2 linked regions of the Arabidopsis thaliana genome follow. The protein of the gene in region 1 purifies or fractionates together with the protein of each later gene. This does not show direct contact. Each region holds a gene or a part of one and is shown on either strand. Other genes may lie near its edges.

Region 1 (7,362 bases):
GGTTAAGTTTTATCAAGCGGTGAGAGGGACATTGGAGACAGAGGATATGTTTGTAACAACAGACTGTTTAGTCACATGCTCATAGTGGAAGTAGAGTTGCGATATAGACACTCAAGGTCACACTTCTCAGGTGTATATAGTTTTTACATTAAAGGTTTCATATATATGAGTAGATCTGGTTGACTTAATTCTTGGGAAACCTAGAATTGTTATGTTGTTCCAAAAGCTTTATACAACGTTATCAATACAATGGAGTTTTGTCTTTATGATTATGTGAAACAGTAATATTACTCAGTGGTTAAACACACAGAAAAAAACCAACACACCTAATCAAAGAATCACCATTAGCCTGAGTTTTCTTAATATCCGGCTAGAGTCCATGTAAATGTTGTATCTCCCTGCAATTTCCGAGTAAGGATGAACAAGATCAGTTCAATAGAGAAAACGAATAGAAAACAAGTTTTCAGCTCATGAACATATGTATATATATACACACCTTTAGACTGGTCAGGCTTGCCATGACTTTTGTATAGTTCAACTTAGAGAGGGAGTTTATCTAAGGGCTTCAAGACTGCGACGTTACTGCGATCTGGATTTATGTACTTCTCATAAGTGACCCTCAGGTTTCCTGTTTTAGCAGCTTTGTGAAACCTTAAGATCATGTCAGAACAGTCCCTGTGATAAGAAAATTGTGTAAGATTAGTTAAAGAATGTAACTAGTCTAAGTGATCTACAAGGAGGAGTTATTAATGAGATTTTAACTTACTTCATCTGGGAGACATTGTAGTGGGTATGGTTGTTTAGGAGCGAGGTCCAAACTGGAGTCATATGCAAAGTGCATCTGGCAACATAAATGGCTGATGCACATAGCAGTGATGGCTTATACTTCAAAGCTTCGTACTCAACCAAACACAACTCGATAAGGTAGAAGGCGAGTTGTTCAAGCTGATAATAGAAATAATACTATTCAATGTCTACCTATTCAAACAGAAGAATTTTATAGGTTATTAAAGCATACAATGCAGGTTTTTCGCGTACCTTCTTATTGGATTGAGCAGCTTTTAGGAACCTCAACATGAAAACATAGGGGGTGGGTGCATTCAAACGGAACTTTAACTGTTTAAGCATACTTCTCTCCTGAAAATGAAAATTAGGATAAGTTACAAGGGGAAATACGCAAATGACCCGTATTTTTTATAAAGAATAGAGAAGTTTGACTATAAACAGAGTTCATTATATACCATTCCCAAGATTTGTTCTCTGGTGTATGATTCTGCGGATATGCTGATCAAGTCTTTGATCTGCACATGGACAAAGAAAATAGATTGTAAATGTCTATTTTCAGGAGAGGTATTAGCTTTCAGGATAAATGTCTCTTACCCTAGGATGCCAGTAGTCCTCATATTTAGATGCCAATAAGAGTGCAGTAAGACCTATCAATTGCATCTCATTTTTATGTATTGGAACTTGGGAGAGGTAACGGTCTAATAAGTCCATTGTCAGGTAAAGAGTCTCATGCATTAGATCAAATTTGAAATGAACCTGCAAACAATAAGTAAAACCTAAGTTTCCACAAGAAGAAGTAGGGATAATATCAAGTTGAAATGGAACCAAAAATATACTGCACTCACTTCGATAAGCCAGTTGATCAAAATTCCACGCGTAACTGGACTGACTTCTGCATGAGCTGACAAGTAATGTCCCAAAGCTGGATTTAATGCCTGCAACAATATTTCACGTTAAGCTACTGGAAAGCTAAAATTCAATATTCAAACTGCAAGTAAAATTACCAAATTAGTAATATTAGAGAAAAAGAAGTTGATGTATGTGGAAGAAATAAGTGGATTACTTCTGCAGTCCAATAGAACTGATATATGTCATCCACATATTCTGCAACTTCCAGCTGATTGGATTCATCATCAATGCTTGGAAGTTTTTCTGGCTCTGTGGTTTCACCATTTTTCTCATCGAACTGCAAGTAAAATTACCAAATTAGTAATATTAGAGAAAAAGAAGTCACAAGAAACAACACAACTAATAAATTACGAACCTTTGATCCATTCACTAGTAGAGATGTGAAAGACTTTCTACGTTTTGATTTTGGCTTCGCTGTAACATCCAACACTTTTGTTGTTGGGTCTTTGTTTCCACTAGATGAACTCTCTCCTTGAGTGTCTTCTTCAAGACATTTTGTCTCAACCTTTTCCGGAAGTGACAGTGTTGAGGCAACTGCAGAAGAAGGGATTGAAGAAATAGATCTTGATTTACTTCTACCCACTGGGGGCTTCTTAAGAGAGCTACGGTTTTGTAGCGAAGTCTTTACAGTTGTCTGGATCTTGAGTAAGAGAGAAAGCTTATCACATATTTAATAAACAAAAATCCTCAATACGACTGTAACTATTGCCCGATGAAATGATCACGAGCAAGAAAACAAAGATGAAAGAAGAATGATTTAGCAGTTCAATGATGATAATAGCCAAGGCCAAATAGTGTGGCTTTAATGGAAATGAATCACTTGCATAGATATGAAAGGACTAAGGTGTATACCTTGATAGATTTCCTTACGAAACGGACGTTATTCTTACTCTGCTTATTGCCGTCCCTAAGCATGTAAAGAAAATAAACTTAGCAACTTGGGATATAAGTTGCTGCCCACAAACGATAAAAGAAAAAAATAATCTGATTCTCCAAGATGTAAAAAAGTCGTGCATTGATAATGAAAATGCAAACAAGGATTCTGTGAATGTAGACAATTTGATAGTTGGAAGTAGACATGTGTGATACGCAAGAGAGAAACAACTTCACTTATTTAATGATGATATCAGAATTAAGCATATTTACTTACGATTGTATAGAGCCGACACTTGTTCGAGTTTTCCAAGTATAGGTTCCGGCACTGCTTAGCTGCGGGACAGCTTGGTTGCTGGCTTTACTGGCTGAAACAATGCAACATCAATCATATCAGATACTGACCAATCAAGTTACAATTTTAACATACACATTTCCATCAGAAGTTAGAAAAGAAATCCATGTTACCTAGACCCTGACCCAATTGTTTCGAATTTAAGCCTGAGACATTGAACTGCGCCAAGATAGTAAATACACAATTAGTAAACTGTCCTAAATGATTAGCCTCACGAGTTGTTGTACAGCCAGTTGTAAGAAAAAAAAACAATCTCAAATTAGATTGATAACAACCTTTTTTAAGCTCTTATCTGTGAGGCTTGTTCTCTTTAAAGTTGGTAAGGACTTTCTGCAAGCACAAATCAATCAAGGAAGTTAATCAATGAATGATGTAAATCATTCTCAGCAGATACTAAAGAAAATGGCTGGTAGATTAATAATGTTTTCGCTATGGTGAATGAACAACAGGTTACTTGATGAGAGCTTTGACATATTGATAGGTAATGTAGGGCATAAACAAGATATCTATTTTTTCTTGGAAAATTCTTCAAACTAGTCTGGAAGCGGATAATCTATTATGCATGAGATTAGCACGAAGGTACCTTGTTCCACCAGCCGTTGATCCAAGGCTCAAGGTTTTGTTTTTGATGAATTTCTGACCTAAAATATGATTTAAAACAAAGTTAAGATAAATGGCAAAGATCAACTAAAGCCATAGCCATGAAAACAAACATAACATTTAGGAAGTCACCTGTCTTGTAAAGGTTATTGTTCCCAAGTTCGGTGGTTCTTTTACTCACATTCTCCTATATCAGAAAAAAGAAACAATCTAGAATCAAGGCTTGCAAGAAAAATGAAGGAAATGGCCATCAAGTAGTTTAACTGATGAATCTCATGCTTTAAGACACAAAGTTTGTAATATTTGCTGTAACTCATATGCTGATGAATTGTGATATTCTGGTTAATCTCATAACTGCATCTAGTCATAGTAATTTGCAAGTATACAACATGATATAGTTTGCCAATACGCTTGCTATACCTTAGTAGACTTTTTCACTGAGATATTATTAGCTCTGGTTGGACCAACTGAGACCCTACACATGGAAAGGTCAATTAGCCCAGCATCATCAACTCATTTTCAAACATCAGATATTATATACATGGAACTGTACGGATTCGTTCTGTAAAAGCTCATCAACTGAGATGAACGACTAATCCTAAGTAGAGATGTAACGTATTGCATGTATATGATGTGTATAGCAGCAGCTAACGATTACTGCATACCTTTTCGGATTTGCCATTTTTACACCTTTCCATTTCCTGCATTGTTGCATGTTCAGTAGAATAGTTTTAGAACAGAATGCAAATCAGTACAATAAAAACTAACTAACTGATTAAGAAGTGAAGACCATGGCAGTTAATAACTCTTTTCCATGAGGGATAACAAAAAACCCTTAAAAGTTAAGCAATTTTACATGGTACTGCTGCCACAAAGCGTTGGAATCCTTAGAGTGTTCCCACCAAGATTACTTAAATCAGCCAAAGCTTTTCTTGTGACTTTAGTGTATTCCTCTGAAAAGGAGACAAATATCGGAGTTAACTTTCAAAACTAGGTCCCAAAAATGTAATGAAGATATACTCTCCCTTATAAAGCTTACCCCAGTTTTCAATACTGCTTTTGCCCTTTCCTGTGATTCTCGAATTTTCCTTCTTTTTGAATCAAAACAAAAGTGCATTAACATGTGAATAAGTGCATAACATCCAACACTTGTATGAACTCAGAAACAGGGAAAAGGGATAAACCTTCATATTGTTTGTGTTAGAAGTTGCTCCTAAACCATTGCTAATTGTTACAGACTTTCTCCTAAACAATGTAAAAGCAGAAGATTAATTCTTACAGATTCGTAAAGTCAATTTCTTCATGATCAAGCCAAAATATGCACCAGTAAATACATCATGTAATGGATGGAAGAAAACAGAATAATTGTAAAAACAGCAACACAAACCTCAAAGGAATACGAGTCTTCTTCTGTGAAGTACCTCTGCAGAAAGAAATAGGTACAGTTTAATCCAGATTAACAAATAGCAACAGTTTAATTCAGATTACTGAAAGATGAATTGCAAGAGGATCCACTTACATTGTACTGGCTGGATCAGTTTTCTGATTATCGGAGAAGATTTTGAAACTCCTAGTACTCACTGTTTAACATGTAAACATTTTTTTAGAACTGAATAAGGTTCACCAAGTAACTAACAGAGGATAAAATAGTCTCTCTTACCTCGATTTCCAAGAATATCATCTCTACTTAGTCGTGGTGCCTACAAAAGTAAATCAATCGTAAGTGAAATAAGAAGCAAGGCTTTATCCCCTGTGATTTTAAGATGAAGTTGATCTAACTAACCAAATCTGAGAGTAGTAAGCTACTGAAAACTCAAGAATCTAATCTTGTGATAAAAGAAGCAGAAATAGGCAAATACCATAATATCTTCTATCTTCGAAACAATTCAAGATCCCTAATCCTAATCTCGTTTAAAATAACAAGCCCTCGCTCGAATCTCAAATTCATCTGCGATGAACGTAGTAACCCTAACTCGTTTTTTGAAGAAATTAGGATTTTCACGTACCTTCGCGAACGCCATTTTCCTCAAATCTCCAGATCTTCTGCTTTGTTCTTCCCAGAAACCCAATTGCAAGAGAGTTCTACCGTTGCAAATTCCCAAAAGTAGCGACGCCGCTTCTCAAGTATTTGAAATTGAGCCTATCTAATTTACGATTATGCCCCTTCTGTTGCTACGTATTTTCTGCTTTTGTTTGGGCTTTGTTTACCCAAGCCCATTTTAATCCAACCTAGAGCTTGTCAGACCCATCATTCTATTATTCTGAAAAAATAAAATAAAAGAACTTCACTGTTTGCATTTTGTTAGTTTGTTCAGTTTCTCAGAGGATACTGTGCAAGTGCAACAACATAAATTTCAAGTCCATAGAAAGAAACCATGCATTATGTAAAAAAACTTAAAGAAAAGACTACAAGATCAGGTATAGAAAAAGTGCTTTATGTTGACATAAAAAGTAATTTAACTTCTAATTGTTGTTTATTTCTTCAAAAATAAAACAAACTTAGACATTTGATATCATATCAGGCAACATCAGCTACTTTGAATATACATTAGTCACTGTGGAGAGATGTGTTTTGCCAAATAATGCTTATTGCTCCGACAAGATTGAAATATTATCAAGAAGATGTAGTTGCACCCAAAGTGACGTACGGACCTGCAAAATGCAGAAAAGAATCAGCAAATGATGAGAAAACAAACAAAGAGAGTTCAACATTTCTATCTTGATTTATCGGTCACTAACACACCCTTTGATTCTAATCACGATAAGGCGTGAGATCGATTTGGAACTGTTGTTTCCCCTTTGTGACACTCTGCAAAGATGTTATAAGAGCCAATGTTACAACAAAAGGAAACAGATTAAATTTTTATGGGATAATGTAAAGGGCTTACCGCGATTGCAATGAGCTCTTCTAGCAGTTCTTCTAGATGACGCAGAGGCTGAACGGGAAGAAAAACGATGATCAAGAATGCATTGTGTTAGACTAATGGATATGGTCTGAAAAAAAGTAAAACTCACCCATTGTGTTGGACCATCGACCGGTGCATTTAAAGGATCATCATGCACCTAATTCACCGGAAAATGAACCAAGTTTCATAACCAAATTGGAACAAAGATTCAGCGAGATGACAAAACTTGCGATAAAGTTGGATACCTCCATGAAAATTCCATCGACACCAACAGCTACGGCGGTTCTTGCTATGCATGGTATTAATTCGCGAAGGCCACCACTAGCAACACCCCCACCATCTAACTATATAAACAAGGTATGTTTGAGTTTAGACCAATTCTGATTTAGCTTTAAAACACCAAGCATTTTCTTAAATTACTCAGAGCATCGTTCTAATGACCATACCTTCTTGCCTGCAGGTTGTTGTAATGAATGAGTTATATCAGCAACCTGAAGCCAATAACTAAATTATATTATACGAGTGTCAAAACATCAAAGTATAAAGCCAAAGCCAAGATATAAACTCCCACAACAAGAAAAGAACAAGAAGCAATATTAACTCACAACGGGACAATCAGCTTCCCTCATCCATTCCAAATTTCGTGGATCTACTATTAAATCATCTGAGGAACAAAATTAAAATGTAAGGACACTCAGGAGTTATATCCAGTGTCTTTTAGTCTATTTTAGTCTCTATTTGCAAAAAAATTGGTGAATTCTATTGACACAAAGAACAGTTAACTTACTGTATCCAAACATGGTTCCTCTTTCACAAACCATCACATTTGGATTCCCTGCGAGTCTAACCTTCTCAGCCGAGTTTCTCATGACCTTAAAATGGATATACATGAAATCAGTCACTACAATATACCAGGGAACAAAAGTTTGTACA
Region 2 (4,799 bases), on another chromosome or scaffold:
TGGACATGAGACATCGCCATGGATCTTCAAAGCTCTTTAAAAAGATTTTTTTTCTTCTTCAAGTTTGACTAAACAAGTTTGTAATACATGTTATGTTTCTATGCAAGTCTGCTATTTTATAATCTACAGAATAAGTAGATAGGATCATAACTAGCATATGATGCTCTGGACCAGGGCCTGCATAAATTATATATATCCATATATATTAAACCCCACGTTTTTGTACACGAGAAGGTTATAATATTAGTGTTTAATGTCAATTATTTACTACCTTACCTACCGCCTTTGTTCATTCACAATCACGTGGATTCATTTCGGAGAGACCGATCCGTCTCGAAGAACTATATTATTTATAAACACATTAAATTTGATTTTAAACTTTTTTTTTTTTGACAAAACCACATGTTCTATAACGACAACACGAATTGACTACCTTACCGAAAAAAAATAATTTTGGGGCCTTGATTGAATCTTTTCCAATAATTTTGGGGCCTTGATTGTTTATGGTAGTTTTAAAATATAAAACATGGTAGGAAATTCGTCTTTAGAGTTAATTCATTAAAAATCAAAATTTCATACTAAATACGAATTACATTTACATAAGTTGTAACGGATCTCACATTTATTTATCAATTAACTAGAGTAGGATCGCTACATCACATCGGCATTGGCTAATCATCCGAATTTAGCTCCAACAAGTCCATAAATAGATCCAACAAGAGACAAGAGACAGACGAGCAAGCACACAAAGCTGAAACCTCTAAGAAGAAGCCATGGTCGCGTCCAACTTCGGATTTTCTTCTGCAATATACACATCTCCACAGGAAAATACACTGCCAGAGGCCAAAATGCAAGTGCCCCCACCACTCCTAATACTTCATTGAAGTAGGGAAACATCACTGCCACTCCCGTTGTGATCAACACGTACATCGTTCTCAAACACATCCTCATTGGGTTCAATCTCACCGTCTCTCCTCGCAACAATGGCAGTTTGAATCCGTAGAATCTGGCGATAAACTTATTTTCCGGATATTTCTTGGTTAGCGATCTCTCCGCAGCCGCGAAAATTGGTTGACTGTATACCTAAAATGTCATTCTATATTTTAGAAATGTATGGAAGATTTTAGATCTCGATTGTTTGTTTGCTTTAGAACATGTTACATAACAACTTAAAACCTCTTTTGGTATTTTACACAATTTATTTTGTGAATCATAAACGCAAACGTTAAAATGACACATAGTAACCAAAAATATTTTGTCTAAAATACTAGAATGGTAGTTTGTTTTCTAAAATGTGAACGAAAACATAAAAATCAACGAGCATGTTGGTTAGATGGGCAAGGGGTTTCTGAGATACCTGATATCCACCAACTAAATGAAGAACAATGCAAGCGTTGGCGAAATCGACGAGCCAGAATGGCTCATAGAAGCCGAAACCGGTCAAGAGATTTCCCGGGGTGGAATCTCCAAAGGCCGCGTACCCAAAACATCCACAACAGAAGAAGAAGAATGTTTGGATGAATACCGCAACCGTCGAGGCTTTCTTCATCGTTTGCTTCTCTGCCGGTGGTGATCTCAATGTGTCCTGTCCTTAATTTTCATTTAACACACGTAAAAAAAAGGTTTCTTGATCTCTAAGAGTAGTGCTATTTAATGTGTTAATTAATCTTACTTGGCGTCATTATGCATGAAGGTAAAATTATTTACCTGAATCTCAAGAAGTATGATTGAGAAAGGATATGAAAAGGCAATGTTCCCAAGAGCTTGGAACACTATCCATACCTTTTCACCTCTGTTTTCTGCTGGTATTCCCCTTATACTTCCCTCAATTTTTCGATTCTCTTCATTTCAAAAACAAAGTTATTTGATTGTCTTCCCCCATCTCAAAATAATTTTATACTCAAAATCAAAATTGACAAAGAAAAAGTAATATCTATACCTATGATTTTGCCAAGGGCGAGGCCGATGCCAATGAACGAGTAAGTAAAAGACATAATAGCGGCGACAAGAGAGAGCCATACCATGTTGTGGAAATTAGGTATTTGTGACATAAATATCTGAGTCAAACCAAACAAAACCATGAAGTAGTTGTTGTTGTCTCCATATGAACATGTTGCATTGTGTCCATTTCTATGATAACAATTCGATTTCATAATTGCTCTGTAATGAAATGAAAAACAAAAAACTCTACGTATCAATATTGGAAAATAAAAAATTCCTAGGAAATAGAACAACAGTTGAAATATGTTTACATATGTTATTACCTACTGCATGTAGCTATAACAATGGTATAAGCAATGCCACAACCAAAAAGGGAAATGTATACAACGACTCCACATACAATTTCATTCTTCTTCCCTGCAAATCAAAATTACCCATATGAATAAATTTAAATTACAACTAAAATAAAAATTTAGTTTTCCGGACCAAATTAGTTTGTTATTTCTTATTGCATGTATTTAAACTCGTGATTTTGAAAACTTTTCCATTAGGTGGCAAGATAGTACGCTAGTTGAACTTATCGGAAATATTAGTTTTGAAGTTGACCTAAATACAATTTAACGGCTTGAGAGTAAGAATTGAGTCGGAGGGGACCGTTGTTAGGATCAGGGAAACGGTAGCAATCGGAAAGAAGAAAAGCAGAGAGAAGTGTGACCCCGGCGAAGGCTATAAGGGCGGCCGGACCAGCGATCCAGCCGAGCTCCGCCGTGGCCCAAGCCAACGACAACACTCCAGCTCCTATCACTCCTGTTATTATATGTGCCACCGCCGTCCATAACGTTCCTTTACAAGAAAACACAACGTAATAATTATTTGATTGATTACTAATGATTATGGATTATATGATTACTAACAGATTTACCTGTTCTTGCAGTAACTGAATCATGAAGTTGAAGCTCGGTTGGTGTTATAACTCGAGACTCGTCATCTTCTTTAATGTCCATTTTTTGTGTGGACGAAGATGAAGTTATTTGGTAATGTGTATGTTTGTTTCTATTTATGCGGGTACACGATGTGAATTCATTTTATCTTACCGAGGAATGAAACCTTGTCTAAGTGAATTGGAAGACAGATGGTTGACTACTACTATTATTGTAAATTTACGTGTACCAATTTATAAAACTCGTGTTCATATGAATAATATAAGATATTTTAGTCGATGGTCACATCTACCTTAAGTCATTTGATTGGAATGGTTGATGGTCCATTTTTTTATTGCTTAGAATACGAAAAGAATAATGTGCTTATCTCATTACTTTTAATTTTGTCCATCACCTTTAACTTTATATTTTTAAACCAAAAAGAAAAACTTTTGTAATGACATATTTTAAAAGGAAAATTTTCTTTTATTAGTAATGTGTAATTGGAAATCCCATCTCAGCATAATGTATACATTAAGCATTTTTCTGGCAACAAAGAAAATTAAGAAGAAAAAAAAATTAAGGAAAATAAGTACTACTCAATTCAATTTCATCCCACGAAATATGAAATTGTATGATTTTATATGTGCTCGTCTATGTACGCTTATTGATCAACTTTAACAGGATTTGACAAGGCCACGTCTAGTATACATTAATTCAAACTTTTAGATTTTTTCTTTTACCCAACTTTTAAAAAGTTAATACATATGAATATAGATACATTTTTCTGCAAAGTAAACAAGAGAAGTATGCAGTTTCGCTCGTTGTCGATCACCATACATTAATTCAAACGTACGTTCAAATATGAATATAGATGCATTTATCCATCACCAACGTTCACATTCCTAATACATGGCCATATGACCTGAGAGAAAATTTAAACTAAGTACTCAAGAAAGAAAGCTCTAAAACAATAGAACCGAATATTATAATTCAAAAGACTTGTTTTGTTAAGAGCACTCCCAGTGGTGATTCTTAAACGTTTCTTAGCTAAAAATCCTTAAGAAATATGCAATAAATAAATCAATAATGTGATATAAACTAAGAAATGCACCTTAATTAGCTTAGAGTTTTTTGTGAGGTTAAGGTGCGCTGACGTGTCAAATTCTCATTGGTAATTTTTTTTTTGTTATGATGTATGTTTACAATCAAGTTTAAATCTAATCGTTATTCAAGTTTTTGCGTTGTATTTTTTTTTCTTTTTCGTTTCTGTTATAATGTATGTTTACAAATTTCATATTTATTTTAATTATAAAGTTTAATCAAATACATAATTTCAAAAAAAAAACTTTAATTTTTAAGAAACTCACTTAAAATTTTTACCATTGGACAATAATAATACTAAGGACTTATCAATAATTCTTAACTTTCAAATTATCAAAATTTAATATTAAAAATGTTAACGACTCCAATTAAGAGTCTAACCAATGGGCATGCTCTTACTACCTATATGAACATATTCGAGAGACAAATTACAGAGAAGAAGTGGGACAAAACATTTTTTGGGAATTTTCTCATGCGCACACATATATATCTATTAATCTATATGAGCATGTTCAGATTTTGGCCCCTAGATGACATGCCAAAAGAAAGAATCAACCCTAGCCACCGAATAGAAGAAACCTAAATCACAAATATCAATGTTATAATAGGAGACATATATCTATTAATCTATATGAACATGTTCAGATTTCGGCCTGAGATTTTTTTTTGGTTTAATACATGAAAATTGCTTCTATAAACAAACATGGACGGATCCAATACTTTATTTAGGTTAGAGCATATGAATATACAAAATATATGGGCTAGACGCATTTAAATGAACTAACACTAATTCTTTAAAGGGAAAACAATAGTTGGGAAGACTAGACCACATAG

Evidence for each region.
Region 2: the proteins of CYCB3;1 (region 1) and AAP7 purify together in Arabidopsis thaliana (affinity purification with mass spectrometry, with the first as the bait; one large-scale study listed by BioGRID). This does not show direct contact.

Annotation. Positions count from the first base shown.
Region 1 is NC_003070.9:5,581,848-5,589,209, forward strand, and holds CYCB3;1 (cyclin b3;1), read right to left. Parts: upstream 5,615-7,362; 5' UTR 5,545-5,614; coding exon 5,530-5,544; intron 5,224-5,529; coding exon 5,184-5,223; intron 5,104-5,183; coding exon 5,043-5,103; intron 4,947-5,042; coding exon 4,911-4,946; intron 4,769-4,910; coding exon 4,708-4,768; intron 4,615-4,707; coding exon 4,563-4,614; intron 4,477-4,562; coding exon 4,380-4,476; intron 4,225-4,379; coding exon 4,189-4,224; intron 3,999-4,188; coding exon 3,944-3,998; intron 3,711-3,943; coding exon 3,656-3,710; intron 3,565-3,655; coding exon 3,507-3,564; intron 3,254-3,506; coding exon 3,199-3,253; intron 3,083-3,198; coding exon 3,037-3,082; intron 2,937-3,036; coding exon 2,846-2,936; intron 2,603-2,845; coding exon 2,548-2,602; intron 2,336-2,547; coding exon 2,051-2,335; intron 1,973-2,050; coding exon 1,850-1,972; intron 1,722-1,849; coding exon 1,632-1,721; intron 1,543-1,631; coding exon 1,381-1,542; intron 1,302-1,380; and 8 more. Other genes in the region: AT1G16320 (plant/protein (DUF2358)), read left to right, coding at 1-85; ATKDSA2 (Aldolase superfamily protein), read right to left, coding at 6,276-6,332, 6,412-6,459, 6,539-6,586, 6,675-6,773, 6,876-6,920, 7,035-7,093, 7,217-7,301.
Region 2 is NC_003076.8:8,026,607-8,031,405, reverse strand, and holds AAP7 (amino acid permease 7), read right to left. Parts: upstream 3,169-4,799; 5' UTR 2,946-3,168; coding exon 2,864-2,945; intron 2,785-2,863; coding exon 2,548-2,784; intron 2,359-2,547; coding exon 2,265-2,358; intron 2,161-2,264; coding exon 1,940-2,160; coding exon of another isoform or gene 1,884-1,939; exon of another isoform or gene 1,842-1,883; coding exon 1,708-1,841; coding exon of another isoform or gene 1,669-1,707; exon of another isoform or gene 1,586-1,668; coding exon 1,358-1,585; coding exon of another isoform or gene 1,268-1,357; exon of another isoform or gene 1,243-1,267; intron 1,084-1,242; coding exon 676-1,083; 3' UTR 518-675; downstream 1-517. Other genes in the region: AT5G23820 (MD-2-related lipid recognition domain-containing protein), read right to left, coding at 1-20. UniProt on the Arabidopsis thaliana protein: Amino acid-proton symporter. Stereospecific transporter with a broad specificity for neutral amino acids.